Linked DNA regions of Alligator mississippiensis. The protein of the gene in region 2 interacts with the protein of the main gene of each other region in a pairwise test. Links are inferred from orthologs where the notes say so. Each region holds a gene or a part of one and is shown on either strand. Other genes may lie near its edges. The genes, in order: SNRPA, NDUFAF3 and NDUFAF4.

Region 1 (9,988 bases), on a different chromosome or scaffold from region 2:
GGCCCTCATGTGTCCCAGCCTGCCCAGCTCACACGGCTGCTGGGGTTGGCACGGAGGCCCGCCCGCTCCTCCAGGCTAGTGCAGGCAGCGCCAAGCTCATGGGACTGGGAGGGGGCAATGCACCATAAAAAAATGGCTGCCGATGTCCATGCCACCCAGCTGCTCTGCAAGAGAGGACCCTCGGTACGGGATGGATGCCATCAGAGGCTTTTGGGAGGCACCGGGACAAGGCCTGGGTGGGCTCCAGGCTTTGAGCAAGGCCATGGAGAAGCTAACAAGGGTCCAGAGGCGGCAACAAAGATGCCCATGGGCTCAGAAAGTGCAGCCCAGGCGGGGAGGAGCGGAGCAGAGCAGCAGGTGGCACTGGGCTGGTTCAGACGGCGGAAAAGGCGCTGGAGGGGCCCTGGGAGCGGGCTGCAGGGATCCGAAGGGCAGTTGCAGCAAGGAGGGCAAGCGCCTGCGCTCCCCAGGGCAGAGAGGAGGACACGGAGCCATGGCTGGAAGAGGCAGCAAAATGAATTGATTTTGGAGATCATAGAAAATTCAGTTTGAGGGGCCCTTAGGTCACATCTATTCCAACCCCCTGCTCTTGCCCTCCGCTGGACTCTCTCCAACGTATCCACACCCTTTCTGTCGTGGGGAGCCCACAGCTGGACAAGGGACTCCAGATGTGGCCTCCCCAGTGCCCCATAGAGGGGAAGAATCACTGCCCTCAATCTGCTGGCAACGTTCCTACCGATGCAGCCCAGGATGCCGCAACAAGGGCACACTGCTGGCTCATATCCCTCTTATTGCCCACTGTCAGCCCCAGGTCCTTTTCTGCAGAGCTGCTGCCCAGCCCGTCACCCCCAGCCTGTCCCGGTGCATGGGACTGCTCTGTCCTAAACGCAGCACTTTGCACTTGTCCTTAATTGAACCTCAGTCATGAGATTCCTTTTGGTCGTCAAAGCCTCTGGATCCCAGCCCTGCCCTCCAGCGCATCTGCTACTCCCCCCAGCGCGGTGTCATCCGCGAAGGTGCTGAGTGTGCACTCACCCTGCTTTCCAGCCGAGGCTGATGTCATTTTCCTGGACTTTAGGAAGGCCTTTGACACAGTTTCGCACCCTGTCCTCGTTGGGAAGCTAGCAGACTGTGGAGTGGACGCCTACACGGTCAGGTGGGTGGCCAACTGGCTTAGGGACCGCACCAGAGTGGTGGTGGATGGTTTCTTCTCGGCCTGGAGGGAGGTGGGCAGTGGGGTCCCGCAGGGTTCGGTCCTCCAACAGATATTATCCAATATCTTCATCAGCGATTTGGACAAGGGCATGGAGAGCACCCTCTCCAAGTTCGCTGATGATACCAAGTTATGGGGCAAAGTTAGTACACAGGAGGGCAGGGAGCAGATTCAGGCTGACCTGGACAGGTTGGATCAATGGGCAGAGAGAAATAGGATGCAATTTAATAAAGATAAATATAAGGTACTCCACCTGGGAAGGAGGAACCCCCAGCACACCTATAGGTTGGGGAGTGTCCTTCTCAGTAGCTCGGAGGCAGAGAGGGATCTTGGAGTCATAATTGACTCCAAGATGAACATGAGCCGGCAGTGTAACGAGGCCATCAACAAGGCCAGTCACATCTTGAAGTGCATTAGCAGCTGCATGACTAATAGATCAAAGGAGGCGATGCTCCCCCTCTATGCGGCACTGGCCAGGCCGCAGTTGGAGTAGTGTGTCCAGCTCTGGGCGCCGCACTTCAAGAGAGATGCAGGGAATCTGGAGAGGGTCCAGAGGAGGCCACTCGCATGATGAGTGGCCTTCGTGATAGACCCTACGGGGGGAGGTTGAAAGACCTGATTCTCTTCAGCCTTCACAAGAGATGGCTGAGGGGACATCTTGTGGCCGCCTATAAATTTATTAGGGGAGGTCAACGGGGAATAGGGGAAGTGCTGTTTACTAGGGTGCCCCAGGGAGTGACTAGGAATAACAGGTGTAAACTAGTTGAGAGGGGATTTAGGTTAGATATTAGGAAGAAATTTTTCACAGTAAGGGTGGCCAGGATCTGAAATGGGCTCCCAAGAGAGGTGGTGCTTTCACCTAGCTTGGAGGTCTTCAAGAGGAGGATAGATAGTCACCTGGCTGGGGTCGTCTGACCTCGGTCCTCTTTCCTGCCAGGGGCAGGGGCTCAGACACGATGATCCATTTGGTCCCTTCTGACTCGACAATCTATGAATCTATGACACTGAACACAACTGCCTCCGGTCCCTCCACCTGATACAGAAACACTTCCTCCAGGGCAGAGCAGGGGTCCGCAGGGTGGACACCAGGCATCGGTGGGGGGACGCCCCGTCCATGTGTCAGGGGGGTTTTAAGCCCCCCCAGAGGTGCTACCTGCAGCTCAGGCTGGGGATGAGGACCGGACTATGCCAATGCAATCTGCAGGGTCCCGCACCTGTGCTCAGGCTCAGCCCCACATTGCACTGGGGCAGATGCTCAGCCTGGCACAGTCCCCTCTGTAGCGGGGGTGCAGCCTCGGCCTGGGGGCTCTTCAGCAATTACTGACAGGTCACAGCAGCACGACGTTGGCGGCTGCAGCCCCGCTGCTTTTCCTGCAGCAAACTCTGGCGTCAGATCCACTGTGTCAGGATCAACAGTATTTGATACACGCTGGATTAGTCCTGGCCGGTTTGCACAGGGCCGATCCTTCCTCCGGCCAGAGGCTAGACTGGATGCGACCTCTGAAGCTCCCTTCCATCCCCACGGCTGTAGGATTCAGCGATGCAGACAGGGCTTTAAATCAATACCCGATAACCACAACTCAAGGATAGGAACAGCCTCTAAAGGGCCAAGCAGGAGGAGCGGGCAAGTCACGAAAGGGAGAAAACAGCTAGGAAAGGAAGAGCGCTCGACCGAATGAAGCCGTGGTGTGACCCTGGACCGTGAGAGCCGTGGGCAAGGCAGAAGGTAAGTAGTGCGTTTATTAGGATAAACGGGGTGCCAGCAGTCCCTGGGTCTACCGCGGCTCGTGGACGGGTCTTGAGCTGACTTCTGAGCCCAATCCTGGAGCCGCAGATCTGGCCGCAGGTCTTTCTGCAGCAGAGCAGGTGTAGGCTGGCATTCCTCTCCCTCCCCGGGGAAGCACGGGCCGGTCCCCAGGTGCCCTTCCCTGCCTGGCGGGGCAGCGTGCCTCCTGCCTCAGAGCACCGGATAAAGGAGGCCGGGATCCCTCCTCACCTCCTGGAGCTCAAGGTGGGGAACCCAGGCGTCCCCTTGGCCCTGTCCGGGGCTGGGCACGTCCCTGCTGACCTGGCGTCAGGGCCTGGGGTGCAGCAGCACGGCCTGGCCGCACAGCCCCTCCTGCAGGCCGCCCGCGGGCACGATGTAGACCTTGCCGTCGCCCGCCCGCCGGGGGCTGAAGTCCGTCAGCTGAGCGTTGCTCTCCTGCAGCTGCCCGTAGCCCCACAGCTGGTAGCGCCAGCTCTTGCCTTGCTTGGCCAGCAGGTAGGTCTCCTCCACGCCCGCCGGCAGGGGCCCCGGCCCCCGGGGGTGGAAGAGCCCCGGGATCTCCTCGTCCTCGCGGCAGGGCGGGCTTGGCGCATCGGGCCTCAGACCCAGAAGGGCTCCTGCGGGCACAGCGGCTGTCAGCCCAGCTCCGCTCCTGGAAGCAGCAGGATGTGGCCCTTTGGCCCCAAAGGGGTGGTGGGCTGTTGCCCCCCCTGGGCCGCAGTCTGAAACAGATTTCCACCCCCCAAGGCTTTGAGCACTCCCGCACCTAAGAGCCCCGCTACGCCCTGGGGTGAGGACCAGCCCGTGGCAATTGCCGGACACGGCTCCCAGACCCCTGGCACAGTTCACCAGCCCCGTGGCACCCAGGCCAGGCAGGACCGTACCCGAAACGACAGCCCAGTGGGCTTTGTATCCGCGCCGGCGGCAGGGCTCGTGGTTAGAGTCCTCGTCGTAGCTGGGCGCTCGTCAAGGCTGCAGCGGGGGGCCTGAGGGGATGCCCACGCCGTCGCCACCCCTCCCAGAGCCACCTCCGCAGCCCGGGGGCATTGAGCGAGGCTGAGGGAGACCTGGAGGTGGTGGAGGGAGAGCCACGATGCCCCCCCCATTACCCCTCCAAAGACACAGCGGACACATCACCCCCCCCCCCCCCCCGGCGGGACCCAGACGCCGCCTGCCACGGCTGCGTGGGCCCATCCCGGCTGGAGGGCCACGTGGGAGAAGGATACGGCACCAGCACGGGGCAGCCAGCAGCAAGGTGGCAAAGGATCCTGTCCCGGTTGGCTCCCTCCAAGCCTCCCGTGAGCAGCTCCGCCCGGCACGGGAACACCTCTGCCGCCAGCTTCGCCATGTCCGCCGCTGGGGGAGGAGGCGGACGTGTCTCAGACCCTGCTCCAGGCTCCGTCACCCCTTCCCCGGAGCCGGGGCATCTCCGACGCCAACCCGGGGCAGGCAGGGGCTGACCTGAGAACATCTCCCCCTGCGCCGTGTAGCCTCTGTCCAGCGCCGCCTGCACGATGCGCTCCAGCGAGACGCTCCGGGGCAGGCGGAGGAGGGCGCCCGCCATCCACAGCGCCACCAGCCCGCACCTGCGGGCACGGGGCCGGGGTCGAGGGGGGTCCCAGGGCTGAGGGGGGCATTCCCCCAGCCCCACGGCTGCACCCTGGGCCCCTGTGCCATCTCGGCTGTCCTGGGCCCCTGTGGGGTCTCGGCTGCCGCGGCTGCGGTACTCACTGGGGCCCCTCCTGGATCAAGGACGGCACGGGGCGGTGGTACAGCAGCCACTTCCGCCGCCCGCTGAAGCTGGAAGAGAGACGCCCGCCGCACTCAGCGCCCCGTGCAGGGAGACGTCTCGGGGGGCAAGGGGGCTACCCCCCCCGCCCCGAGACCCCCCACCACCACACTGTGGCGACCCCGACCTGGCGCGCCGGTGCCCCAGCAGCTCCCGCACGTCATCCCCGGTGCCGGGCGGGGGGGCCGCACGCTCCAGGGCCGCCTTCAGGAAGTGGGCCTTGGCGCCCCCCGATGGGGGCAGGGGAGGCAGGGATGGGGGTGGGGGAGGACGAGGGGGAGGGGGTGGGGCAGGAGGGGGCAACCCCACCCCGCCCTTATGGGCCATGGGCAGGGGGAAGGGGGGGCAAAGGGAGATTGGCCAGAGGTCAGAGGGCAAAGGGCATGACCTCGCTGGGGGAGGGGGACGGGGTCGCGCTGCCCGCCCAAGATGGCGGCGCCCGTGGAGGGGGCCTCGCGGCGGTCATGTGCCCTCGCGCCGTGGAGCGCGGCCGGCCAATAGGAAGCGGCCGCGGCCTTGACTGACAGCCAGCTGCCGGCTCGGGGGCGGAGAGGAGCCCTCGGATTGGCCCGTTCGCTGAGGGAGGGAGGGACGGGGTGGGGACAGAGCGGATTGGCTGCCCGACGCCCCGCATCGATAGGCTCGTCAGGGGGAGGCTGCGGCCCTCCCATTGGTCCGCCCGCGCCGAGGGAGCGGGGCCAGTCTCCGCGCGCCCTTTCGCTGCGGCGGCCGCGCTGCGCCACGGGCCCGGCGGCGTCGGTGAGAGCGGGGGGGCCGCGGGACCCCCATCCGGGCTGCCCTCTCTTGGGGGGGCACTTCCGGGGAGGGGGGAGAGCCGAGAGCCCCCCCCCACAGGCCTCCCTTCTGGGGGAGCTCCCATTGCCACGGGGAGCCCTCCACTTCCGGTGGAGCCGCCTCCTGGGGGGAGGGGGCGTCTGGGCCAGGTGCCCCCCCTCCCCGGGGTGCCCCTGGGTCCGGGCTGCTGCGGGGCCTGCCCTTAAAGGGCCACGACCCCTTAGGAGGCAGGACCCCCTCCCCCCCAGCTGACCCCCGCGCTCCCCCCCCGCAGACCCCGCCGCCATGGCCGTGCAGGAAGCCCGCCCCAACCACACCATCTACATCAACAACCTCAACGAGAAGATCAAGAAGGACGGTGAGGGGCCCCAGGGATGGCACCGGGTGGGGGGGGGACGGGACACCCCCGCCGGGTCCATGCCTAACCCCCCCCACCACGTTTGCCTCCCCCAGAGCTGAAGAAGTCCCTGTACGCCATCTTCTCCCAGTTCGGGCAGATCCTGGACATCCTGGTGTCGCGCAGCCTCAAGATGAGGGGCCAGGCCTTCGTCATCTTCAAGGAGATCAGCAGCGCCACCAACGCCCTGCGCTCCATGCAGGGCTTCCCCTTCTACGACAAGCCCATGGTGAGCGCGGGGGCCCGCGGCCCGGGGGGGGGACCCAGGCGGTGTCGTCCCCCGCCCGCGCTGACCCGGCCTCTGCTCCCCAGAGGATCCAGTACGCCAAGACGGACTCGGACATCATCGCCAAGATGAAGGGCACCTACGTGGAGCGCGACCGCAAGCGGGAGAAGAGGAAGCCCAAGGGCCAGGAGACGCCGACGACCAAGAAGGCCATGCCGGGAGCGGCCGCCCCCGTGGCCAACGCCGTGCAGGGCGCCGTGCCGGTGAGTCAAGGCCTGGGGCGGCCCCCGCCGGGCCCTCTTGGCATCCAGGGGTGCTACGGCCGTGCCCGGCACGGGGACCTTGCGGCTAAGCCGCTGTCCTCTCCTCCGCCTGCAGGGGATGGCGATGAACCAGGCTCCCCGCATGATGCACCACATGCCAGGCCAGCCGCCCTACATGCCCCCGCCCGGCATGATCCCGCCGCCCGGCATGGCTCCCGGAGGCATGGCGCCCGGCGGCATGGCCCCTCAGCAGATGATGCCCGGCCAGATGCCTCCTGCCCAGCCGGTGAGTGCCGCGTGTGCCCGGGCTTCGGGCTCCCCTCGGTCTTGTCCAAACTCACCCGTGGCTCCGGATGGTGAAGCTTCCTTGTTGCAGGGGAGGGCGAAGGACCCTTCTCCCCAGGGGCGAGTGGAGTCGTGGCCTTGCTGTCGTGGCTGGGGCTGGGGGCAGCAGGACCTGGTGCTGAGCTCCTTGCTCTAATGCCACCTGGGCTGGGGCTATGGGGTGCCTAAGGGCTGCAGGTCCCTGTCCTGGAGAAGCCGGCCCTGCTGGAGCTTGGCTGGTGACGTCTTTGCCAGTCTTGATTCTCGTCTTGCGGGAGGACTTTATGCTGGCAAGTGCCTGTCCCTGCTGCGGGTCCTTGGACTTGGTGCTGCTTGCATCCGGCCGGCCAGGGGGATGCCAGCCCCCGCCCTCCCCGCTCCGACCGGCCCCTCTCCCCGCAGGTCTCAGAGAATCCACCCAACCACATCCTCTTCCTCACCAACCTGCCCGAGGAGACCAACGAGCTGATGCTCTCCATGCTCTTCAACCAGTGAGTCTAGGGGGAGAGGGGGGCTGGGGCGGGAAGCGACGGTGCCAGCAGCCGAGGCTGCCCCTCACTGCTCCCCCTTCCTCCCCTGCAAGGTTCCCCGGGTTCAAGGAAGTGCGGCTGGTGCCAGGGCGCCACGACATCGCCTTCGTGGAGTTCGATAACGAGGTGCAGGCCGGGGCCGCCCGCGACGCCCTCCAGGGCTTCAAGATCACCCAGAACAATGCCATGAAGATCTCCTTCGCCAAGAAGTGAGGCCATGGCCTCCCCGCGTCCCGGTCTTATCCCTCAGGGCTGCCCCCATTCCCCTTTCTCCCCATGTTGTTTGTACTGACTGTCAGGTAAGTGCTCCCAGGCTGGCCCATCCTGGCACCCAGAGCCTTATGCACCGTGCCTGACTCGCAGCAGCCCCTTGCTCCCAGCGGGTAAGTGCCCCGGATGCCCACCAGCAGCTGAGCCAGCCTTGGTAGAGCAAGGCAGCCCCTGGAGACCGGGACCGGGTGGGTGGGGGAGGGCAGGGAGACAGTTGATGGCCTCATGGAAAGCATTGTACCCAGGGTCTGGTGCTCAGACATTGCACCTGGAGCTTCCCGCTGTGTAATAAAGTTGTTTTGTTTTAGAGGTCGGTGGGTGCTGCCCCTTCCTTCACCCGGGTCCAGGTGCTGGGTGGGGGGCGCTTCGGGGTGCACTGCCCACTGGTCCTGCTGGGACACCCCAGTCTCCCTGCTGTTCCAGCAGCTGCTACCTGATCCCGGGATTTTGCGCCGTGGACTGGCTGGCCACGAGGGCATCTAACGGGGCTGGGAGCGCAGCCACTGCCAGCAATGGGGATGGGGACAGTCCGTCTATGGAGCCAGCCCCTGCAACACCTTATTCTTCAAGGGAAACATACAGAGCCCCCACCAGCCCCTTCTCTGTGCACTGCTGCCCTGAACTGGGGGCTCAAACATGCTGGGGGGAGCAAAGCATACACTCAGAAAATGAGGGTTGAAGGGACCCCAAGAGGTCACACCTGGTCCAGCCCCCTGCTGAAAGCAGGACCAGCCCCAACTGCATCATCCCACCTCTCTTCGCCAGCCTCATTTTCCTAGTATCCAACCTCAACTTCCCTTGCTGCAGCTTGAGCCCATTGCTCCTGTCATCTGCCCCCACTGAGACCAGTCCAGCTCCATCCTCTTTGCACCCCCCTGCAGGGAGGTGAAGGCTGCTAGTCGATCCCCCTCAGTCTTCTCTTCTGCAGACTGAATCAGCCCATTTCCCTCAGCCTCTCCTCACCAGTCCTGTCCCCCAGCCCTGCATTTTCATTGCTCTCTGCTGGACTCTCCAGTATGTCCACATCCTTTCTGTAGTGGGGGGGGCCAAAACGACACCGGACTCCAGATGTGGCCTCCCCAGTGCCGAATAGAGGGAAGACACTGCCCTCGACCTGCTGGCACTGCTCCTACCAATGCAGCCCAGGATCCCATTTGCCTTCTCGGCAACGAGGGCACACTGCTGGCTCCTGTTCAGCTTATTGCTTCCTGTCCCCGTCCCCCCCCCCGGGTCCTTTGCAGAGCAGCCAGTCGCCCCTGGCCTGTCCCGGTGCAGGGGATTGTGCCCGAAGCACAGGACTTTGCACTTGTCCTTGTTGAACCTCATGAGATTTATTTTGGCCCATTCCTTCAACGTGTTGAGGTCTCTAACTCATAGCCCTGCCCTCCAGAGCATGGTGGGGGGGCACAGCGGGTGGTTCTGTGTCCCTGCCTGCTTGTGGGGCTTCTCTGGGCTCCCCCCTCCCAGCCGGCTAGCCCAATAGGAGCCGAGCCTGGAGGAGGTCTTGCTTTTCCCCTCCTACCCCCAGCCCCTTTGCCGCTGGGAAGAGCAGACAAGGGCCCCACTGTGCTGGGGCTGCTCCGTGGCAGGGGCGGCTGCTGCTGTTCCCTGGGCCGGCCCCTGGCTCCGCATCTCTGCTCCAGCCCTCAGGTTCACGGCTCCTGCCCGGGCCAAAAGCAGAGTGGGAGGGAGACATTTCACAGAGGCTTCTTGAAGCTGCCCTGTCCTGGCATCCAGCCCCTTTCTCTGAGCTGGGCACCACCCGGCCTGGCTGCGCGGCTGGCTCTGGGCTGGAGCGTGGCAGCAGGGGCCCCAGCCTCCTTGAAGCCGACAGCACCTGGGGTTCATTCAGCACCCCTGAGTCCGGGGGGGTTTGAGCCCTCCGCCATTCCCCAGCTGGTCCCTGGTATGGGGGGCATCTCCCAGGGAAAAAAGGCCAAGGCCGGGGACGAGAACCGGAGCCGGACACCAGTACCCCCCTGCTCCACCCCCAGGCCGGGCAGTCGCTTCGAGCTCCACCATGGCCCTGGCCTGGGTCTTGCTGCTCGGTGCCCTGCTGGGGGCTGCCCATGGCGGCTGGCACATGGACAAGCTGGCGGAGCGCAAGCTCTGCGCGGACACCGACTGCAGCCGTGAGTGCCCGGGGTGGGGGCGTGGAGAAAGGGGACCAGGGCCGTGCCACCGGGGCAGGAGACTACCCGTGTCTCCCCATGGGGGGTTGTAGCCAGGCCAGGGCAACCCTGTCTGCTCTCCATCACCCCCACCAGACCCCATCTCCATTGCGGTGGCCGTGCAGGACTACGTGGCCCCCGACTGCCGCTTCCTCCACGTCCAGCGGGGCCAAATCCTCTACGTCTTCTCCAAGCTCAAGGGCCGCGGGCGTCTCTTCTGGGGTGGCAGTGTGAGTGTCGGG
Region 2 (9,929 bases):
GCCCAGCCTGCCAGATCCACGCTCCCACCCCTGCAGTCCTTCAAGCGACCCTCTAGGCACGGAGCCCCAGCCTGGGCCCACCTGCCAGCACTTCCCCCACCCTGCCGGCAGGGCTGGCGCACGCTCACCTTGCTCTACAGCCTGCTGGTACATCTGGAAGAGTGTGGCCAGCCGGGCGCAGTTGTACATCACAAAGGCCCCACTCCGGGTGCCCTTGGTGGAGATGCCGCCATCTGCCAGGTCCAGCGTGATCTGTGGGGAGAGGCCACCTGGTCCCCCACCTCCCTGCTCCCCAATACCAAGTTCGGCCTACCCCTGCTCCAGGGAGCCCTGGACCCCTGTGCCCTGGGGAAGGCCCTGCAATGTCATCCCGTCCGCAGAGACCCTGGGCGCTTGGCTGGGGGCACCGTGCTGCTGTCCTTGGGCATGAGGCAGCCTCGTGGCTCTCACCTGGCTGCGGTGGGCTGTGCTCAACATCTCAAAGCGGATGGCTGCGGAGGTCAGGACCCTGCTGACCTCGGTCCAGGACTCGTCTGTGCGGAGGAGGGGGGCAGAGTAGGGACGCTGCAGGTACTGACCTCTGCCTCCCCTCGCACCGCCTGCTCCTGCATGTGCCAGGCAGGGCCCCGGGGTGCTAGCAGCTCCTCTCCCCCAGTGGCGGGCGACACGTTACCATGGGCGAGGTCTCCGTACTTCATCACCGAGGCTTTGTGCAGCTGGCGCTGGCGCAGCCTGGGGAGATGAGTGCAGGTGAGAGCCCAGGCAGCCCCGTGGCTGCGACCGCCGAGCCTGGCCCTGCTGGCAGAGCCAACAGCAGCACCCGTGGCCTGGCCGAGGCAGCGACCGCAGCGCTGGGTGCCGCCCCTGGCAGAGTGCAACAGCAGGCAGCACCGGGGAGCGACTGGTGACCCCCACTTACTGGTAGTACTGCGAGGCCCCTTCAGGGAGTGAAGCGCTTGTAGCCTTCACTGGCCCGCACACGAGGTGTTTCTGAAAGAGAGAGAAGAGATCAGCCTGGGCTGGGGACAGCCGAGCCCCTGCCCCCTCGCCGGGGAGCACAGCAGGTCGAGCTCCCCCCACTGCCCTCGGGTGGGCACGAGGCCAACGCTGCCCCTCACCTGTGCGGCAGAGAGCGCCCCAGGCTCCAGCATCCTCCAGAGCAAGTCGGCCTTCTGCTGCTGCAGCTCCTCCTCGCCGCTCACCACGTGCAGCACGGTGCAGGCGCTCCCCGGGGCCTCGGCCTGCGCACAGCGCGAGGGCAGCAGGGGCTGCTTCGCGTGTGCTCCGAGCCCCGCGACCCCCGCGCGCTGCCCAGGCCGCGGCAGCACAGCTACTCACCAGGCTGCGCTGGGCCGCGCGCTCCACCTCTGCCAGCGCTCGCAGCTCCTCCTCGGTCACTGCGGGGAGGGAAGAGCTCTGCAAGGGGCCCTCTCTCTCCATCTGCCCCGCCCCACAGGCTTCTGCCTTGGCGTCCTGCCTCCGTGCGGCGGGGCAGAAAGCGCCAATCCAGCCGCACGCTGCCGCTGGGCAAGGAAGCACGCCCTGCCGCCGCCCCGTGCCCGCCACCAGCAACGCTACCCCGGAGGACGTCCAGGCTGGGGTCGTAGCCCTGCAGGCCCCGCTGCTCCAGGAAGCTCCTCAGGCGCACCACAAACAGCGTCCCGTCGGCCCCTGGGCCCGGCTCCCTCGCCGTGGCGTGCGGGCACTGGCTGAGCGCTCGTTTCCAGGCTGCCACAGCCTCCGGGGGGGACGGCGCTTCGGGCGCCCAGGGCCAGTCCACCCCCAGCTGGCCCAGGAGCTCGCGGACGCTGTCCTCAGGGGCAGCCGGGACCAGGCGCACGTTCGCCCTGCGAGACCAATGCGTGAGCACGGGGGCCAGGCCTGAGCGCCCCCCCAAGCCGGGCAGCGCCCCACTGACCCGCATGCCCGGAGCACCGCAGCCAGGTGGTCGGTCAGCAGGACGGCGCGCAGCTGGGCCAGGCCGAGCGGCGCGGGGCGGCGGCGCTGCAGGGCGGCGCAGTGCAGGACCACGCGCGGCGACACCGCAGCGGCAGGCGGCGGCGGCCGGGCGTAGGTGTCGGCGGAGGCCAGGACGTGGCGGAAGACGGCAGTGCGGTGCAGCTGCACGGCCAGCCCCGCCACGCCCTGCTGGCAGCTCCGCACCGGCGGCACCGCCGCGCCCCGCAGTGCCTGCACTGCCTCCACCGCCGCCCCGGGCACCTGCGGGGACAGCGCCGTGAGCCCCGGCCCGGCCCTCGTGCCGCGCTGGGCACGTGCCGGGCTGCGCAGGCCCCGCCCCTTCGCCCAGGCCCCGCCCCCGACCTGGCCGCCGGGGAAGAGCGTGCGCAGCGCGCCGCGCGGCGCCAGGAAGTCGCGGCTGCGCAGGTTGCGGGCGCTGGTCTCCTTAAACCAGAGCCCGGGGCCCGCGTCCCGCCGCAGCGCCGCGTTCAGCGCCGCCAGCGTGTCCGCCACGGCCAGCCGGGCCTCGCCCGTCTCCATGACTGCCGGGCCGCCGCCGACCCCGGAACCCCGGGCCGGAGCCGCGGCGTGACAACGGACGAACGGCCACTTCCGGCGCGCGGCAGTGAGGTCACGGCGCGGAAGGGCGAGCTGCGGCGGGCATCTTGGATGTGGCTCAGCGCGCGGCGGGCAGCCATCTTGGACGCGGGTAAGCGGCCATCTTGGGCCAAGCAAGGGGCGGCGGCGGCCATGTTGGGTGTGGCGCGGTGGGGGCGGGGCAGAGGCCATGTTGGGCGTGGCAACAGTGGCGCCTTCCCCGGGCTGTGGGCGAGGCCCGCGTGGTGCGCCGCGACCCCGGCTCGGCTCCCCCGGGGCAGCGCGGGGCTGGGAGTGGAGGGGGGGCTCCACGTGCCCAGGACCGAGCTGAGAGCCACGGCTGTTCACACCACACCGCGGTGTCACATCTGCCCCCTCGCAGCGTCACTGCGGATGTGGCGCTCCCCCGCAGCGCTGCCCCAAGCACGCCCAGGCTGTGGTGCGGCACCAGGCCAGGCCAGGCCCAGGCGGCATCGGGCAGGCTCGTCACGCGCTCGGCGCTACACCCGGGGATTTCCGGGCTGGGCCCGCGCAGCCGCCTTGGGTCTAGATCCTCGCAGAGAAGCCGTTGGAAACAAAAGCAGAAGGAACTTGCTGGCATCTCTGCCCGCAGCAAACAGCGACCACAGCAGTCAGGAGCAGGCAGGGAGGAGCTTTATTGTGCATCGGCAGCCCCTTACAGCACCCGTTTCACTGAGGCTCCTGCTGCCTGGGGCCGAGGCGGGGCCCGGGAGCTGGGAGGCGCGGGGGGAGCCGGGCCCGTGGTCCCGAGTCGGGCTCCGGGTTGGGAAGGACGGGGCTGTGCGCTGGCGAAAGAGGAACAAGGCGAGGGAGCGGCTCCTCTTTCCTCTACCGCCGAGGCACGTGCGTCTGCAAACGGGAACCTGCTGGGGCAAGCACCCCCCACACCCGCGCGTGCATGCACACCCGCACCCACAGCTGCCCCTTGCCCTGAGTTCAAGGTGGCTGCCAAGGCCTCCAGGCCCCCTTCCCTGCTGGAGCCTGTGGCAAAGGTGCGGCGCTCTCTGCACCACCCACAGCCAAGAGGTGATCTGAGAATGCTGCTCACGCCAGACCAACTGCTGACTGTCTGCAGTGGCAGGAAGAGGCCCGGGCACCCCGGCTGCCAGCCGCAGCCTCGCCGACTGGATGGCCGGTGGCTGCAGCAGACCCGTGTCCACACATCCCCCACTGCCGCAGCATGGTGGCGGGCAGCGATGCGTGGGGCTGTAGTGTAGGGCAGGCGCCGGCGTCGTTACACCAGGCGGGGGGGCAGCAGCACGTCCCAGCAGCCAGGCGGGCGCATCCTGGGGCCATCTCCGTCCGCGGCAGGGGCTGTTGCAGGCCGGGCCAGGCCACCCGTGGGCGCGCTCTGCTCCGGGTGGCGCCGAAAGAGCTTTGGACCGACACGATATTCCCGATGGCTGTCGGGCGTCTCGCTCAGCGGGAGTGATCGTGTCATTCCAAAGCAATCTCTCTCCAGAGGGCTGTCCCTCACCGGCTCCAGGGTCCGTCCCGGGCAGCCAGGGCCCTTCCCAGGCAGGCAGCCAGCCCAGTGTCTGTCCCCCACCCCGCGCCGCGCTTGGAGCTGCAGGAAGCACGAGTGCATCGCGTGATCCCGCCACCCGCTCCGGCCTGCTGCAGGTGGCCACATCCACATTGTGGCCGGCAGCTTGCGGCAGCTGTTGCTGCTGTGGTGGTTTCTCCTCAGGAAGCCAGGGTCTATCTTTAGCTTGCAGGAGCACGAGACTGGTGAAGAGCCTGGGCTCAGCGGGCCCCCCTCTCCTCCTGGGGGCTCCTGTGGGGTGGGGGCTGGCCGGCATCTGGGCCCCGGCGAGGTGGCCCTGGGCGGGGGAGCACGGGCGGGAGAGCAGGGAACGAAATCCAAGCGCAGCTGAGGTGCCGAGCGGAAGACAGCTGCTTTTGGGATTCCGTTGCCCGCTGTCGCGCGTCGGGGCGCCCAGACGCCGGGGTGGAGCGGGCGAGTCCGTTCTCAGCGTGCGCGGGGCGGGCAGACAGGCAGAGCGAGGACACGGGGACGAGGACGATGACTTGCCAGAGCTGTCCCCACGGCACCCCGGGTAGGGGGGAGCTGGGGTCAGGGCTGCTCGGCCCCTGCAGCCGGGCTCCAGTCCTGTCCCGCGGGGCAGAGGGACGGGCCCGTGCGGAGCTGGTGCCAGGGGCACTGCCCTGCAACAAAGCCTGGCGCGGAGCCGGCCCGGGAGCAGCGCACCTGGTGCTGGGGCTGTGCCAGAAACCTGAGACCCAGCCCCACCCCTGGACTCCGCCGCTCTGCACCCCCGGGCGCGGGCTGCCCTCCCCCGCGCCAGGCTGGCCAGCCCCGCGCCCGGCCCCCCCTGCGAGGCCAGGCCAGGCCAGGCCAGGCAGGGAGGAAGCGCACTGGCTTGCCAGGGGATTTCCATGCCGGGCCTGTAGTCAGTGCCCGGGGGCTCCGTTGCCGGCAAGGCTGGAACTAGGCGCGTGCCCCGTCCCAGCCCCCGCCCAGCCCAGAGAAGGACCCCCGGGGCCTGCCCCCCGCGGCGGCGAGGCCCAGGGCAGCTCACCCGGGGGCGCCAGCACATGTGAGGACCTGGCCCGTGTCCACTGGGTGCTGGAGCCGGGGACCCCCCCCGCGTGCAGCTGCCCCCATCCCTGGCCAAGGGTGTCCTAGGGCCGCCTGCCCCTCCCTGCCCCCTGCACGGGGGCCCTGCGGGGCTGTGCGGTGCGCCGGGTGGGGGGGAGCGCGGGAAATGGGTGTCGGCGTCAGCGCAGGGCCCGGGCCGCTCGCCAACGCCCCGCTCCGCTGCTCCCGCCCCGCGGGCGTCGAGGGCTGGGCGAGGCCCTGGCACGGCTGGGCCCGGCGGGTGCTGCCCGGTGCTGGGACGGGGAGCCGGAGCGTCGAGGTCTGCCTGCGGGACCCTGGCCTCCTGCCAGCCCGCGGGCCCCCACCCTGCCCCCGGCCCCGGCCCCGGCCCCGGCCCCGGCCCCGGCCCCGGCCCCGGCCCCGGCCCCTCACCTGTGGGCAGCAGGTGCCGCGTGTGCCGGCCCAGCCCGGCCCGGCCCGGCCCGGCCGCCTTTGCCCGCTGCTTTATGCGGGAGGGCGCAGCTCCCGCCGCCCGCGGCCAATCGCGCCCCGCCGCCGCCGCCGCCGCACTTTCACTTTTGCTCTCGCGGCGACGAGCCCCGCCCCGGGCTCCTCGGCTCCCTGCGGGCGGGGCGGGGCGGGGCGGGGCGGGGGTCGGGACCGGGCCTGGTGGCCCCGGGGCGGGGCAGGGCGGGCGGGGCCCCGGGGCGGAGCCGCTCGGGCCAGGCCGGACCCGGGGGCGGGGCGGGGCGTGGCGGGCGGCAGGTGCGTGGGGGGCGTGGCGGGTGTCGGGGCCAGGTGCGCGGGCGGGGCCGGGGGCGGGGCTGCTAGGGGACGCGGTCAGTTCCTCCCCGCCGCGCTGCTGTCATCACGGCGCTGTCGTCATCACATGGCGACCGCGATGGCGCTGCGCGCGCACGGGCTGTGGGGGCGGCTGTCGCCGCGCGTCGTGCTGGGCCGGTGGGTGCGGGGGTGCCGCGGGGGGGGGAGCGGGGTGCCCCCCCCGGCGCCCGCCGTGACCGCCTGTCCCCCTAGGGCGCCCTGCCGCGCGCACGGGCTGATCCAGACGGACGACGAGCGCCTGTCCCGCACCTTCGTGTCGATGCTGCAGCGCGAGGCGGGCGGGCGGCCGCTGCTCGAGGGCTGCTCGGCGCACGGCTTCACAATGGCCGGGGCGCGCCTGGTCGGGCCCTGCATGCTGCTGCCCGCCACGCTGCTCACCTGGAACGTGAGTGGGGCGGGGCGGGGCTGCGGGAGGGGGCGGGGTCAGTGGGGGTGCTCGGGCGCGGTCCCTCACTGCCGTCTCGCAGGTGGGGTCGCACCGGGACATCACGTCCGAGAGCCTCCTGCTCTTCCGCCTGCTGATGCCGCGCATCCGTGAGTGCCCTGGCGCGGCGCGCGCGGCCCCCCGGGCTCCCCTCTGCCCCTTGCTGCTTCAGGCACAGGTCGGCCTGGAGCGACGGCCCCTCCCGGCCCCGGGCGAGCTGCCGCAGCTGGCAGCCCCGGTGAGCGAGCAGTGCTGCCGCAGGGAGGGGGGCAGGGCCGGCTGCAGGCCGCACTCCCTCGCTCGCTCGCTGTGGCCCCCCAGCACCCACCATCGGTGCCCTGGGGCAGGGGTGTTGCACACGCTGCCCGCGTGCTGGATCTGGCCCAGAACCTCTGTCCGGCCTCCTGGGCGCAGCCTGCTGCGGAGCGCGGCCCCACTGGCCACGGACCATCGCTGCGTTGCCAGAGCCCTCGCTGCTGCGCTGGCCGGGCTGGCACCCCGTGCCCTGGGCTGCATCCTGCCCGTGAGCGCCCCGCAGCCTGGGTCTGAGCTGAGGCCCCGGGTGAGGGCGACACCCTCGGCTGGGAGACGCCCGCAGGGACAGCCCGGCCGTTCTGTCTCGGAGCTCCTCGTGCAGCCATCGGTCACCGCTGGTCTGGTCCCTCGTTGACCCTGCCTGTGCTGCCTGCCTTCACGCCTCCCACGGGCTGGACTTCATAGGATCCGAGAGAGCCGGGGTGGAAGGGACCGTGGGATCACGTCTAGTCCAGCCCCTGCTCCAAGCAGGACCAGCCCCAACTACATCATCCCAGCCGAGGCTTGGTCTGCCTGTGTCTTAAAGACCTCCGAGGATGGAGACTGCACCACCGCTCTGGGGAGCCTGGTCCAGTGCCATACTACGCTCCTCATGAGAGAGTTTTTCCTCACATCCAACCTCAACCTCCCTTGCTGCAGCCGGAGCCCGTTGCTCCTTGTCCTGTCATCTGCCCCCACTGAGACCAGCCCAGCACCATCCTCTTTGCAGCCCCCTGCAGGGAGGTGACAGCTGCTATTCAATCCCTCTCAGGCTCCTCTTGTGCAGACCAAATCAGCCGAGTTCCCTCGGCCTCTCCTTGCCAGTCCTGTCCCCGAGCTCCCTAACCATCTTCGCTCCCCTCCGCTGGACTCTCTCCAATGTGTCCACGTCCGTTCTGCGGTGGGGGGCCCGCAGCTGGACACAGGGCTCCAGACGTGGCCTCGCCAGTGCCAAACAGAGGGGAAGAATCACTTCTCTCGATGTGTTAGCAGCGCTCCTCGCAGTGCAGCCCAGGATGTCGCTAACCATCTTGCCCCGGGGGCGCGGGGCTGGACTCGGTGATCTTCAGAGGTCCCTTCCAGCCCTAACGTCTATGAAGCTTTCTTGGCTTTTCTGCAGAGCTGCTGCCTCGCCTGTCAGCCCCCAGCCTGCACCGGTGCGTGGCATTGTTCTGTCCTGAGTGCAGGACTTTACACTTGTCCTTGCTGAGTGCCAGGAGATCTCTTTTGGCCCGCTCCTCCCAATTTGTCCAGCTCTGAATCCTAGCCCTGCCTTCCAGCATATCTACTACACCCCCAGCTTAGTGTCATCTGCAAACTTCCTAAGGGTTCACTCTGTTATCTTCTAGGTCATTAATGAAGATATTAAGTAAAACCCGCCCCAGGACCAACCCCTGCAGCACTCCACTTGATACTGGCTGCCAACTAGACATTAGACCATTGATTACTCCCCATTGAGCTCAACACTGCGGTCAGCTTCCTGTCCGCCATAGTCGTCATCCAGCTTGTACTTCCTCAGCTTGCTTGCGAAAATGCTGTGGGAGACCATATCAAGAGCCTTGCTAAAATCAAGGTACCCCCCCCATCCACCAGTCTCCCCGCATCCACAGAGCCAGTCACCTCATCATAGAAGGCAATCAGGTGGGTCAGGCATGACTTGCTCTTGGTGTAATTCCCTGGATCCTCTTTCTTTCATAAAAATGGGCACTATGTTTGTCCTCTTCCTTTCAACTGGGACCTCCCCCAAATGCCAGGAGTCTTCACAGTTGATGGCCAGTGGCTGTGCAAGTACATCAGCCCGCTCTCTCAGCACTCGGGTGCATCCCATCCAGCCCCATGGACACGTCCAGCTTTTCTAGGTAGTCCCTAACCTGATCTTTCAGCACTGAGGGCTGCTCACCTCCTCCCCGGACTGCTGCCCAGTGCAGTATAGGGCCTGACCTTCCCAGTGAAGACGGGCAAAAAGGCATTGAGCACGTCAGCCTTTTCTGCATCCCATCACCAGGCTGCCTCCCCCATTCAGGAAGGGACCTGCACTTTTCCTGATCCTCCTCTTGCTACCGACATACTTGTAGAAACCCTTCTTTTACCCTTCACGTCCCTTGCTAGCTGCAGCTCCAGTTGCACCTTGGCCTTCCTGGCTTCATCTCTGCATGCCCGAGCAACGCTCTTATCCTCCTCCCTAGTTGTTTGTCCAAGTTTCCACTTCTTATAAGCTTCCTTTTTGAGATTTAGTTTACTGAAGTTTCCTGCTAAGCCGAGCTGAATTCTGCTTTTCTGCAGTCCAGGGACCTTACTCTGCTGCTCTCCGTCCTTCCTTTCCTCAGGATCCTGCACTCAGTCATCTGGGGGTCGCTGCTGCCCAAGTTCCTATCCACTACTACGTCCCCCACCACGTTGTCTCTGTTTGTGAGCAGCAGGTCAAGGAGAGCAGGGCCCCTACTTGGCTTCTTCAGCACTTGCACCAGGACGTTTTCTCCAGCACCCCAGACAGTTTGTGGATTGCCTGCGCACTGCCATGTTGCCCTCCCACAAGTCCTTCCCCTCATTAAGGCTAAAGCTGTCCCCTGCCCATGGCAGCAGGTGCCCCTAGTTCCAGTCTTCTGGGATGTGGCGAACAGCAGCTCCCTGTTCACTTGGTCCACACCCTGTATGGTTTATAGGCCTCCATCAAGACTCTACCACCTTTTCTGGAGAGGCAGAGACCAGATGTGCGCACAGGTGTCGAGACGTGGGCGCCCCAGGCTCTGCACAGCAGCACGATTTGGCCTCCCTTTTGTTTTCGGTTCCCTTCCCAACGGCGCAGGGCGCATTAGTGGCTTTTTTGGCAGCTGCTGCATGTGGAGCCGCCGTTCTCAGAGCTCTGCACTGAGGTCAGTGACCAAGTCATAAGAGTGGGTTCGGCGCTCGGCACTGCCTCCGTGCCCGAGTTGTTTCTCCTGCGCGGCACCTTGAGCTGGCCAGCACTGAGGTTCCTCTGCTGTTTTGTTTTGCCCAGTTGCTGGCCTTGATGCTTTCTGCAGCTCCTCTCCCTTGGCCTCAACCTCAGCCCTTGGTAATGCGGGCGGGCCCAGCACAGAGCCCTGCAGGACCCCACTGCTGACCTCTCTCTCCTGAGAGGAGATGTGTTAAGCCAACCCCACCCCACCCTGCCTCCCGGCCTGTCGCCGGCGCTAACTGGCTTCTTTCATGCAGAAATCCTGGTGCTGGGCACAGGTGACCGGATGG
Region 3 (9,810 bases), on a different chromosome or scaffold from region 2:
AAGTCATCACCCCCCCAAACCTCTTAAGGGGCCTGGCCTACCCCTCCTGCCCTGGCTCATGAGGCTCCATGGGGGACAGCTGGACCACTGGAAGAACTTCAATTATGGACCAGGTCTGGCATCATGACCACACATGGTGCAAGCACTGGGGAGAGGGCAAGCCTGCTACTGATGTGCGTGGCTGCAGCCCCACACCGCGGCAGGCTGTCTACATCCTTGAAGACGTAGCTGACTTCCTCCTCACCCATGCGGACCAGAAGCCCTCCCTGGATGAGTAGGGCCAGAGGGCTTTGAGTACCCACACCCTGACACTGGGCCATGGGTCGCCTTCTATGGGCTCCTTTGGCCCTGCATCAGGGGCACCACTGATCACAACCCTGGCTATCCAGGCACCATTCTTCTTCCCCTCTCCCTCCTCAACTTCCCAGAGGGGCACAAACCAGGGCTGAGGGGTAATGTAGGCAGAGGGAAAGACTTGCCTCATTTTAATCAAGTTTTGAAGCTGTCAAACTTTTAGTGTGTTTATTAAACAAAAACTGCAATGTGGCCTGCTCCAGAACTTGGAACCATCTTCTCAGTTAGCATTTAGAGACTGGGGAAAGACAATGGCTATACTGGGCAGTTATGATGTTGAGTGGGGGAAGGGAGTGGGCAGCCATGGGGGCTCAACTTAAACATGAGACCTTGGGGTGGCAGGAAGAATGCCTCACGTGAAACTGCCTCCCTTGGTTTAATTAAATTGCATAGCTGCCAAACATCATGTGTGCATAATAAATAACAATTGTGGACATGAGCCCAGGGGGCTGTCTATCCCCGCAGAGGCTACGCCACTCCCCCACAGTGGGACCTGGGCAGAGGGACTGGGGGACCCTGGAGCAGATCTGGCACATGGGAGCCCCTGACTTGTGGTCCAAGGAGTGTTCCTGGCTTCTTGGACCACAGGTCAGGGGCTCTCATGCACCAGATTTCCTGTTCTGGGGCTCTCCTGCCCCCCAGCATCTCCTAATTCAATGCACAGTGTAAAGCGTTCCTCCACAGCTGCCACCCAGGGACCCCCTCCATTGGCCTCTGTGGCATGTTGCCCCACAGAGGAGTCACCAGAGCAGAGCTCTCCATGCTGGGGTGGGAGGGATGGGTAGCAGCTTGCTCTACCACTCCTGCCCAGGAGGGCAACAGTCTCCCTGTGGGAGGCAGCGCTGACACCACTCAAAGGTATCCTGGCTGGATCCTAGGAGGTCTTTGACCCTATGCATAAACTCCTTATCCTGGTGCTACAACTCTCTCAACTCCATAGCAGCAAGAGTGACCTCCCTTAGACAGTGGGTGGCCATCTTGAGACCCCCATTCTTGGACCTTTGCAGCACATTCCTGAGACGGATGGCTCATTCAAGTGCCATGGCAGTGTAGGTGCAAGCAATCACCAACCTGTCTAATCCAACTGCCCACATTGAGTGGGCAGTTGGTCCTCCTTTGGTCCTCATTTCACTGGCACCCTCTACGCACATGCTTCTGCTGACTATCCTGGATCTAGCATCTTGGGCTCCACGACAGGGCTTACCGTGCCCAGTTTCCAGACAAAGAAGACACTAAGATACCTGTCTGGTGAGTCCCCTTGTCTGGACCCCTTCTCCTGCCTGGGGCTGGAAGCCAGACAGCTGCTCACAACCTGGCACTGACCACGTGCTGGAACACCTGCATTCCACCTCCCAGCTGGGAAAACCTGGATGCCTGGGTTTTATTTCCCTGCTGTGGGAACTGGGAACTGAAGCATTTGGGCCCAGAGGAATGAGCCTTTTCCAGTTTTCTGAGATGAAAATGAAGGGGGGAGGGTCTGATTGGAGAATTCCCATTTCCTGCTGCATCTTACCTGTCATGGTGCTTATAAGTAGGTGTTCTGCTGAACAGTGCCTGGACACACACTAGCAAAAACCTACAGTTGCAACTGTTAGTTACACCTCAGCTGTGTGGCTCAGAAGAAAGTTTTCAGTGTCTTTCAGAGTCTTTTTGGGTGCCATTTTGCGCAAAGTGGTTCTGCATCAATGCACTGGCCTCTCTCAGGCAAGCAACGTGACCTTGAGCGATGGGGTGGCCAGTTGACAGTTAACCAGATTTATGGTCATTCAACATAATGCAGACAGATAAACTCCCAACAACAGTATGGGGTCCTGGCCACTGTCATGGAGTTGTGAGGGCAAGGTGTTCAAGAGGCCAGAGATCCATGGGGGATTATCAATAAATCAGGATCATCTGTCTTCCATATGGACAATCAGTTTTCCACACTGAGTCAAGAGCAACTTACCAAGAAATCACATTAGACTATACCATCACCTATACACATCTCATTCAGAAGTTCTGGAGTAAAGTTTCTGCACAGGTAGCTGTCTTCAGACATTTAACTAGCAAACATAGCACAACAACTTCAAAGTGCTCAGAACCACTGCATTTGCAATGGTATACACCCCAGCAGATTACTGTGCTCCTGTATGGTCCAGACGTTGTTGCACTAAAAAGCTCAGCACTGTACTTAACAGTGCACTGAGACTCAAAACAGGCTACACAGCGTACACACACACATATATTCCCTGTACTCCAGGGCATTAGACCAAGTGACATAAGAAGACAGATCCTAACCACTCCCCTGCTACCAGGTTTTTGGGCCCACAGAGAGTCCAGCAGGCCAGGTATTGTAGCCTTGTGTATTGCACTAAATTTAGATAAGGGGTGGGGTGAATGGAAATTAAATGATCATTCAGAGTAATCTAGTCTGAAATGTATTCCTACAGAATTTTATACCAACACCAAATGAGTTCCCCATTGGGCACAACTTTGACAGAGAAGCATGGGTCAAGCTAAAGAGACAGATAGGGCTGTGCTGGATAGGGATGCTTCTTAACAGCACAGTATTAGATGAACATCTTGGAGAGCCCCCTATGTGAATGTGGTGTCCACAATCAGCACAGCACTTAATCAAAAGCAGCACTCCTTACAAATGTACTGACGGGCAGATGGAATTCGCATCCACATCCATCCAGAGTTATTTTAGATAGGGATCCACCATTTTTACAGGCTCTGTGTGACCTATCTGTTTGGTCATGGCTGTACAGTGCTTTCTGTGCTCCTACCACATAGTAAGTGTAAATTCTGTGCCTCCTTTGTGGGCTGTTTTCTGGCTTTGTGGCTTCAGCTGGGGATGCAAGGCTGCCTAGCTCCACGTTCCCTGGTCAAGGGCTCTTTGGACTTCTAAACTACTAGCTTCTTGAGAGATTACTGCTTGCCTCCTGCTCCTGGTAGATCCTAAGAACTACATCATGCTGACAACATGGGTCACACAGCCATCATAGCTCCTTTTCTATATAAGTTGAGCCTGCCACCATTAAGGACTAGATGACCTTGCACAGCACGCATAAGAGTCACATGGCTTGGCCAGTGTCACACGGACATATTGTTCCAATTATACATCAATCCCACATAAAGGTAGAGGAGGATTTTTATTGTTCTTTTGGAAGGAAAAAAAAAGCCTTCCTTGTAATTGGAACAACACAGTAATAAATGTCACAACTTTAGACTGGCTCCACTATTTCGCATCATACACAATGTCATAAATTTAGGAGCAATCTAAAATGTAATAAAAATAAAAGGTAAACTTAATGAATTATACACTGAATGGCAGGGCTGGATTAACCCTTTAGTGGGCCCTAGGCAAACAACCTTGTGGGCCTCTATTTTTCTCACTCAATAATTATAATATGTAAAATAAGCACTACCGGGCCCCTTCTTCACTTAGGGCCCTAGGCATGTGCCTAGTTTCCCTATGCATTTCTATGGCCCTGCTATATGGCCTTCTTCCACATACTATCAGGACCACTCGCTATAAAAAGATTCAATTAGAATATTAACCAGAATTTGGCTAGATTCTGGTTTCAGGTTCAAATAGATGTATCTATTGCATTGACATTTCCACTGATCTGGATTATTTAGATGTTTATGTTAATGAGTCTTTTTGACCTATATTTTTATAATCTGTGCAGGGTCATGGACACCCTTAAGTTTAAAAAAAAATACTTACAATTCAGCTGTAAAACAGCAATTCTTATACCATGCCGTGGTTAGTTTTAAAATGCTGAAAAAATACGGGATTCATACAGTAATGACTGAAATTCTACAAAATGAAAACCCTAGATTAGCCTGCCATCTTGAGGACATTTCTATCTTTACCCCAACAGAGATGGTCATAGATGTGGTCTGATTCTTCTGTAGTTTTCCCTCGGGAGCACACCCACTCTCCTTGCACTGAGGCTTCCAGCACCCACCTGGTCCCCACTCAGAAGGGAGGGGGATGCTGAATGCCTAGGGTTTTTTCATTGTGAGTTTTAGTGGTCAGTGAATCTTTAAAAAGATAAAGTTTGAACCCTAATGCACCCACATAAAAAGCTGTATTGACCTAGAAGCGATAACTTATGTGTAGGTTTGCAGACATAAAGAAAGATGTTTTTGCCTAGGAGCAACAACAAAGATCCGGTTACACAAACACACACCCGGCAAACACACTAATAATTCTTTAGCAACAATAATGGATCGATCTGTCATTGCTGTTGGGGTAGAACATTTTCCTTTTATTTATTTATTTTCCAAAATTAATTGCAACTCTGTAGACCTCCATGCTTCCAGAGTACTCTCAGGAGATCTAAAAAGTAGCAGTTTTGTCTGTTGGGCCATATAATAGTACCCAAGATGGTAAGTCAGAGGAGAGAGGGAAAAAAAGGGCCAGTTGTGATACTGTGATAAAGAAAGTTTGGGAGGTTTGGGAAGCACTCCGATTCTTCCTCCCTTTTCATAGAAAGCATAGAAAAGCAGGGCTGGAAGGGCTCTCTAGACTAGGTCATCTAATCCAACCCCCTGCCTGAGGCTGAATCATGGTTGCCTTTAGCTGCCTCGTTTCTCCTGCAACTGAGTAAAATATTGCTACTCACCCTGCGACCCTTTATATGTACTGCACAACTGACTGGCCAATCGCGCAATCAGTTGAGACTGGCCACATGCACAAAGTAATGATCACACTGTAACAATGTCCAGCGAGCTCTAAAAAGAGCCGACCAGCTACAACGTCCGTGCCCGACAGTGTGTACTAACTGCAGAGCTGGCTTCTAGCCATTTTTTAATTTGAACATGCCTCTGCGGAACAGATGCTTAAGAGGGGACATGAATACTTGAAGGGCTACCATAAATAAGAGGGAAAGCACCTTTTCACTCTCGCTGCAGAGGAGGACGCGGACCAGTGGCCTGAAGTTGCAGCAACGTAAGTGTAGATGTTCCCCTGCTTTGCCCGGGCAGGCTGCTGTCAGGTCTGTGGTGTGACGGGGCGGCTGGCAGCCCCGGGCGGAGGTGGGGCAGACCTCATGGCTAGAGCACAGACGGGGCTGGGCCCCGCGACCCCTGGCGGGCCCGGCCCGGCCCAGCCTCTCGGTAACCCGGGAGCCCAGCAGCAGCCGCCCCTCTCTCCGCCCCTCCCTCACCCTTGTCTGCCCCCGCCCCGCCCCGCGCTCCTCCAGCCGCTAAGCGGCGTCCTCTGCCGCCGCCACCACCCGCCTGCGCATGCGCGGCGACACTGGGCGGTGAGCGCGGCCATGCGGATCATATGGGACCATTTGGTCCGCGCTTTCCGCAACTTCAACGTGGAGAACCGCGCGTTCCGCGTCCTCGACCGGCCCAAGCCCACCCCCGCGCCGCAGTACCCCACGGCCCGGCCCGCCAAGCCGCCCGGTGAGTGTCGCGCGCGCGTCATGCCGGGAGCTGCTGTTCCTGGGCCCATGCAGGGCGGTCCCGGCACGGGTCCTGGCGAGCAGCGGGAGGTGTGGCAGGTTGCACCGGGGCCCGGGGCTGGTTTGCGTTGGGCCCTTTGGTCACAGACCCACATGTACAGAAAGCGCGGGTCGGACAGAGGTCATCGCGTGCAGGGATCTCCACTTCTTTTGGGACCAGGCCCCGTTTGTAAATATAGATGGCCAATGCCCCTCGCTCCCGACCTGCTGCCCCCCAGTGTGTGGCACAGGAGGGCCCCCAAGCTGCCCCTCGGAGGCTGGGGCAGTGCTAGGCTGCAAGGGAAAAGCTGCGGGTTCCCCTGTTTTTCTCCTTTACGGGAGAGTCCATTTTTCATGTTGGTTCCCCGCCCTTTAGTATATTCTTGTGACCCACAGGTTGAGAAGCTCTGGTCTAGTCCAACCCCGTGCTCAAGGCAGGACCTGCCCCAATTAGATCGTCCCAGACAGGGCTTTGTCTGGCCGGGTCTTAAAAACCTCCAGGGATGGAGGCTCCACCACCTCTCTGGGAAACCTGTTCCAGTGCTTCAGTGTGATCCTTTGCACGCACTGGAGCTTGGGGATGTTGCAGCGGTTGCAGCAACCAGCCTTTTTTTTCCCTCTGAGAAACATGCAGGGGCACCTCACCTTCCCATATATTCAAACTGGTGATGGGTGGGGATTGGCTATTATTAAATGCAAGCCAAGGAGAGTATATGGTATGTGTTTTCTCTCTCTCCTTTTTACTATCTAGAAATCCAACATGAAATCCAGAAAAAAGACAACAGGCTTCTTGCCTTATTAAAAAATGTCTATGTCGATTCCAAGGATCCACCCATGGAAGTGAGTCTCTTTCCGCAGCGAGTGCACAGCAGTATCCGTTCTTCACGTGGCCAAACTATAAGGATATCCATAACTGGGGGGGGGGGGGGAGTTGGTGCAACTTGTTGCCTTAGTGCCCAGAAGCTAACTGTTTTAAAAAAATAGGTATTGATGGTTGATTTGTTTCAGATGCAGTCCCCACTTTAACAAAGGCAGAGTTTTGGCCAGCAAGGTCTTATGTCTATATATTTTATTCTGCTTGATATAATCCCAAATTTGGGGTCCAGTGCAATTTGTTAAGGGTACTTTCAGTCTGTATTGATGCCCTGGTTTGCCTCGTCTTCCACACAGGTGTCTTCATCTACCCTGTTACTTTTAGAATGGACTAAAACAAGATGGTTTTGCTGTGTGAGGTTAAGTATTCTCTGTAAATGATTCACCCTTCAGTGAATGGCTGAAGCCTCAATATGCTTTAAAATTTAGCTCAGATAAAAGCTGATGCTTGATGACTTGAGTTAACCAGTGGCTGTGGGCTTGCAAGAAGTTCTCTTGGTCTTGGGACATAAAGGCTACTTTCCTCCCCTTCCCTCCCAGCCCCCAGTGTGGAGCAGGGAGCTTGATAGCTGATTTTGAAACAAACTTGGAAAGGGAAGTATGAAGAGATGCTAAGAACATTTTGAGAAATTCACAGAACAAAACTAGAAGGTATAAAACTGCACCAAAGCTTCAAATGAAAAAAAACCAAACAAACCAAACTGGACCAGAGGAAAAGGAAAGTTGTAAAATGTATAGGAGGTGGTTTGGGTGGGTAGGTGTGGATTGTTTTTTACAACCTAAGAAACTGTTTCCAGAAAAAGTCATCCTTTCTTCTCCCATTTATATTCTTTTTAAGTTCTACTAGAAGATGAAGAGTAGAAAGTATCTGCTCTGATGCAAACATAGGCAAATGATGTCAAGTTAAATATGTAGGACAGCATTTTCACATGTCATTACTTGACATTAAGCATCTACAGTCAGGTTGAAATATAGAAATCTGTAGCTTTTTACTTCCCCTCCAAAGATGTTGATGGCTGAGAACTTTCACTGAAGTTTGCAGGAGTTTTGCCTGTGCTTGGGTTTTCAGAAAGTGGGTCACTGGGTGCTAGATATTTGGTCGTTCATAGATTCATAGATGCCAGGGTTGGAAGGGACCTCAACAGATCATCAAGTCTGACCCTCTGCCTGCGCAGGAAAGAGTGCTGGGGTCTGATGACCCCAGCCAGATGCCTTTCCAACCTGCTTTTAAAAACCCCCAGGGTAGAGGAGAGCATCACTTCCCTTGGAAGCTCATTCCAAATTTTGGTCACCCTTACCGTGAAGAAGTTTTTCCTGATGTGTAGCCTAAATCTGCTCTTCGTCAGTTTGTGACCATTGTTCCTTGTTACTCCAAGAGGCATCTCTGATACCTTGTTGCACCCCACCTAATGAATTTGTAGGCAGCCACAAGATCACCTCTCAGTCTTCTCTTGCGAAGGCTGGAGAGGTCCAGGTCCCTTAGTCTGTCCTCATAGGGCTTGGCCTGTAAACCCTTAACCATACTAGTCGCCCTCCTCTGGACCCTCTCCAGGCTATCCACATCCTTCTTAAAGTACGGCGCCCAAAACTGGATGCAGTACTCCAACTGCATTCTGACCGATGCCTCATAGAGGGGAGAATCTATCACCCTCTTGGTTCTATTTGTCATGTTATCTGCTGATACATGATAAAGTGCAGTTAGCTTTGCTGATGATTTCATTGTATACTATAGTTGCTGGGAACTTTTGTACTTGGAAAATAAAGCATTTTTAGGAGAGTGTGGAACAGTCCATGAGCATTCATTTCTTAGGACTAGTAAACAGGAGAGGGGTGTCCCTTTCCTGTCCCTCCCTCCCCTTTAAAAGGCAAAGTTATTGTTAAAGAAATAGGTAGGGCTTGTACAATTTACAAAATAAATGCATCCTACTGATTTGAACTCTTTTCTTTTCTTACTATTCCAGGTAAAAGTTGAAGGTGAAGGTCTCCCATGTAAAGAGGAGGAATACAGACTTACAAAACTAGGTCGTTATAGTGCTCTAGATATTCACCGCGTTCCCAAAGGCAAAATTTCTACTGTGGAGCTTTTGACTTTTCTTAATAATCATAGACTGCATCCTGAAACATGGACTGCAGAGAAAATAGCAGAGGAATATAGTTTGGACCTGAAGGATGTCACTTCTCTTCTAAAATACCTTGCTGTTTTTAATATGGAAATTCCTTCATCTGAAGATAAAAAATATATCAAATCTACGTAAAAATGGTTGCCAGAACTTGTTTAATTTCTCTGGTGTTTTCATTTTAATCTTAAAATGTATCATTTGTCCTGGAATTTGTTGAAATGTAACAATAAGTTATTTTATTTAAATGACTCCTACATTTATTTGGGCAAGCACATTAATTATATTTTGGCTCATAATCTACTTTACTCGTGTTAGATTAGGAGGCAGTTGAAATCTGCAAGAAACGTGGCAATATGTTAGGATTAATAAATGACCTATTCAAATTAATCCAATTCTGGGGGAAAGATTTAGTTAAAAAGAAATTGCTACTTCCTTGTGAGAGAATGTTTTTCATTTGATGACTTTGGATGTTAGTTGAATCAATGATATATTAACTTACTGTGAAAGTTTATTCTTGTTTTTATTGTTATTTATGTAACATAGTTTGGGTAGGGTCACACAGAATTTTCAAGCACATAGAAATTCTCTCCAAATTATCCAGCTTTGCAGTACAAACACCCTGTCTCATTTTTAAGATGAAAAAATTTGCTGTTGGATTCTAAGAGCAAAAGAAGGTGCTGAGGAAATGCTTCTGCCCTTCTTTTTAAAACATAAAATAGTAATGCCTGTACAGAATGTTATTGAATGAAGCAATAATGCCAACTATCCATTCCATTCTGGGTGGACCCAACTACCATAGTTTTCTGTCCAGTTTCAAGCTACTTGCAGTTTTGTTTGGCACCTACATCTAGGTATGGCTTACCTCATGACATGGGTTAGTGCATAGTTGTTAGTTTGGCTGGCTACTCTTTTCCATGTCATTATCCGTGCCTGTTCTGCACTATTTCCACTTCCCTATAGCACCTGTGTACTCTTGTCTTGAGACAGTAATGTAGACAACAGACTTCTTGCTAGGAATC

What was found.
Region 1: the proteins of NDUFAF3 (region 2) and SNRPA interact in binary tests that used the Homo sapiens proteins (3 or more experiments, as listed by UniProt). The two-hybrid records come from large-scale screens. The link is inferred for Alligator mississippiensis from reciprocal best matches to the Homo sapiens genes NDUFAF3 and SNRPA.
Region 3: the proteins of NDUFAF3 (region 2) and NDUFAF4 interact in binary tests that used the Homo sapiens proteins (3 or more experiments, as listed by UniProt). The two-hybrid records come from large-scale screens. The link is inferred for Alligator mississippiensis from reciprocal best matches to the Homo sapiens genes NDUFAF3 and NDUFAF4.

What each region holds. Positions count from the first base shown.
Region 1 is NC_081838.1:2,383,933-2,393,920, forward strand, and holds SNRPA (U1 small nuclear ribonucleoprotein A), read left to right. Parts: upstream 1-5,422; 5' UTR 5,423-5,529; intron 5,530-5,839; 5' UTR 5,840-5,850; coding exon 5,851-5,923; intron 5,924-6,018; coding exon 6,019-6,191; intron 6,192-6,274; coding exon 6,275-6,451; intron 6,452-6,566; coding exon 6,567-6,737; intron 6,738-7,177; coding exon 7,178-7,266; intron 7,267-7,358; coding exon 7,359-7,518; 3' UTR 7,519-7,884; downstream 7,885-9,988. Other genes in the region: ACTMAP (actin maturation protease), read right to left, coding at 3,288-3,598, 3,866-3,936, 4,208-4,337, 4,443-4,567, 4,713-4,781, 4,898-5,097; MIA (melanoma-derived growth regulatory protein), read left to right, coding at 9,596-9,707, 9,843-9,976. UniProt on the Homo sapiens protein: Component of the spliceosomal U1 snRNP, which is essential for recognition of the pre-mRNA 5' splice-site and the subsequent assembly of the spliceosome. U1 snRNP is the first snRNP to interact with pre-mRNA.
Region 2 is NC_081835.1:669,435-679,363, reverse strand, and holds the start of NDUFAF3 (NADH dehydrogenase [ubiquinone] 1 alpha subcomplex assembly factor 3), read left to right. Parts: upstream 1-5,993; 5' UTR 5,994-6,029; coding exon 6,030-6,100; intron 6,101-6,175; coding exon 6,176-6,368; intron 6,369-6,450; coding exon 6,451-6,517; intron 6,518-9,896; coding exon 9,897-9,929. Other genes in the region: DALRD3 (DALR anticodon-binding domain-containing protein 3), read right to left, coding at 129-285, 451-533, 674-732, 920-990, 1,119-1,241, 1,339-1,397, 1,579-1,847, 1,919-2,220 and 1 more. UniProt on the Homo sapiens protein: Essential factor for the assembly of mitochondrial NADH:ubiquinone oxidoreductase complex (complex I).
Region 3 is NC_081824.1:82,860,651-82,870,460, reverse strand, and holds the start of NDUFAF4 (NADH dehydrogenase [ubiquinone] 1 alpha subcomplex assembly factor 4), read left to right. Parts: upstream 1-5,580; 5' UTR 5,581-5,624; coding exon 5,625-5,760; intron 5,761-6,549; coding exon 6,550-6,638; intron 6,639-8,632; coding exon 8,633-8,926; 3' UTR 8,927-9,810. UniProt on the Homo sapiens protein: Involved in the assembly of mitochondrial NADH:ubiquinone oxidoreductase complex (complex I). May be involved in cell proliferation and survival of hormone-dependent tumor cells. May be a regulator of breast tumor cell invasion.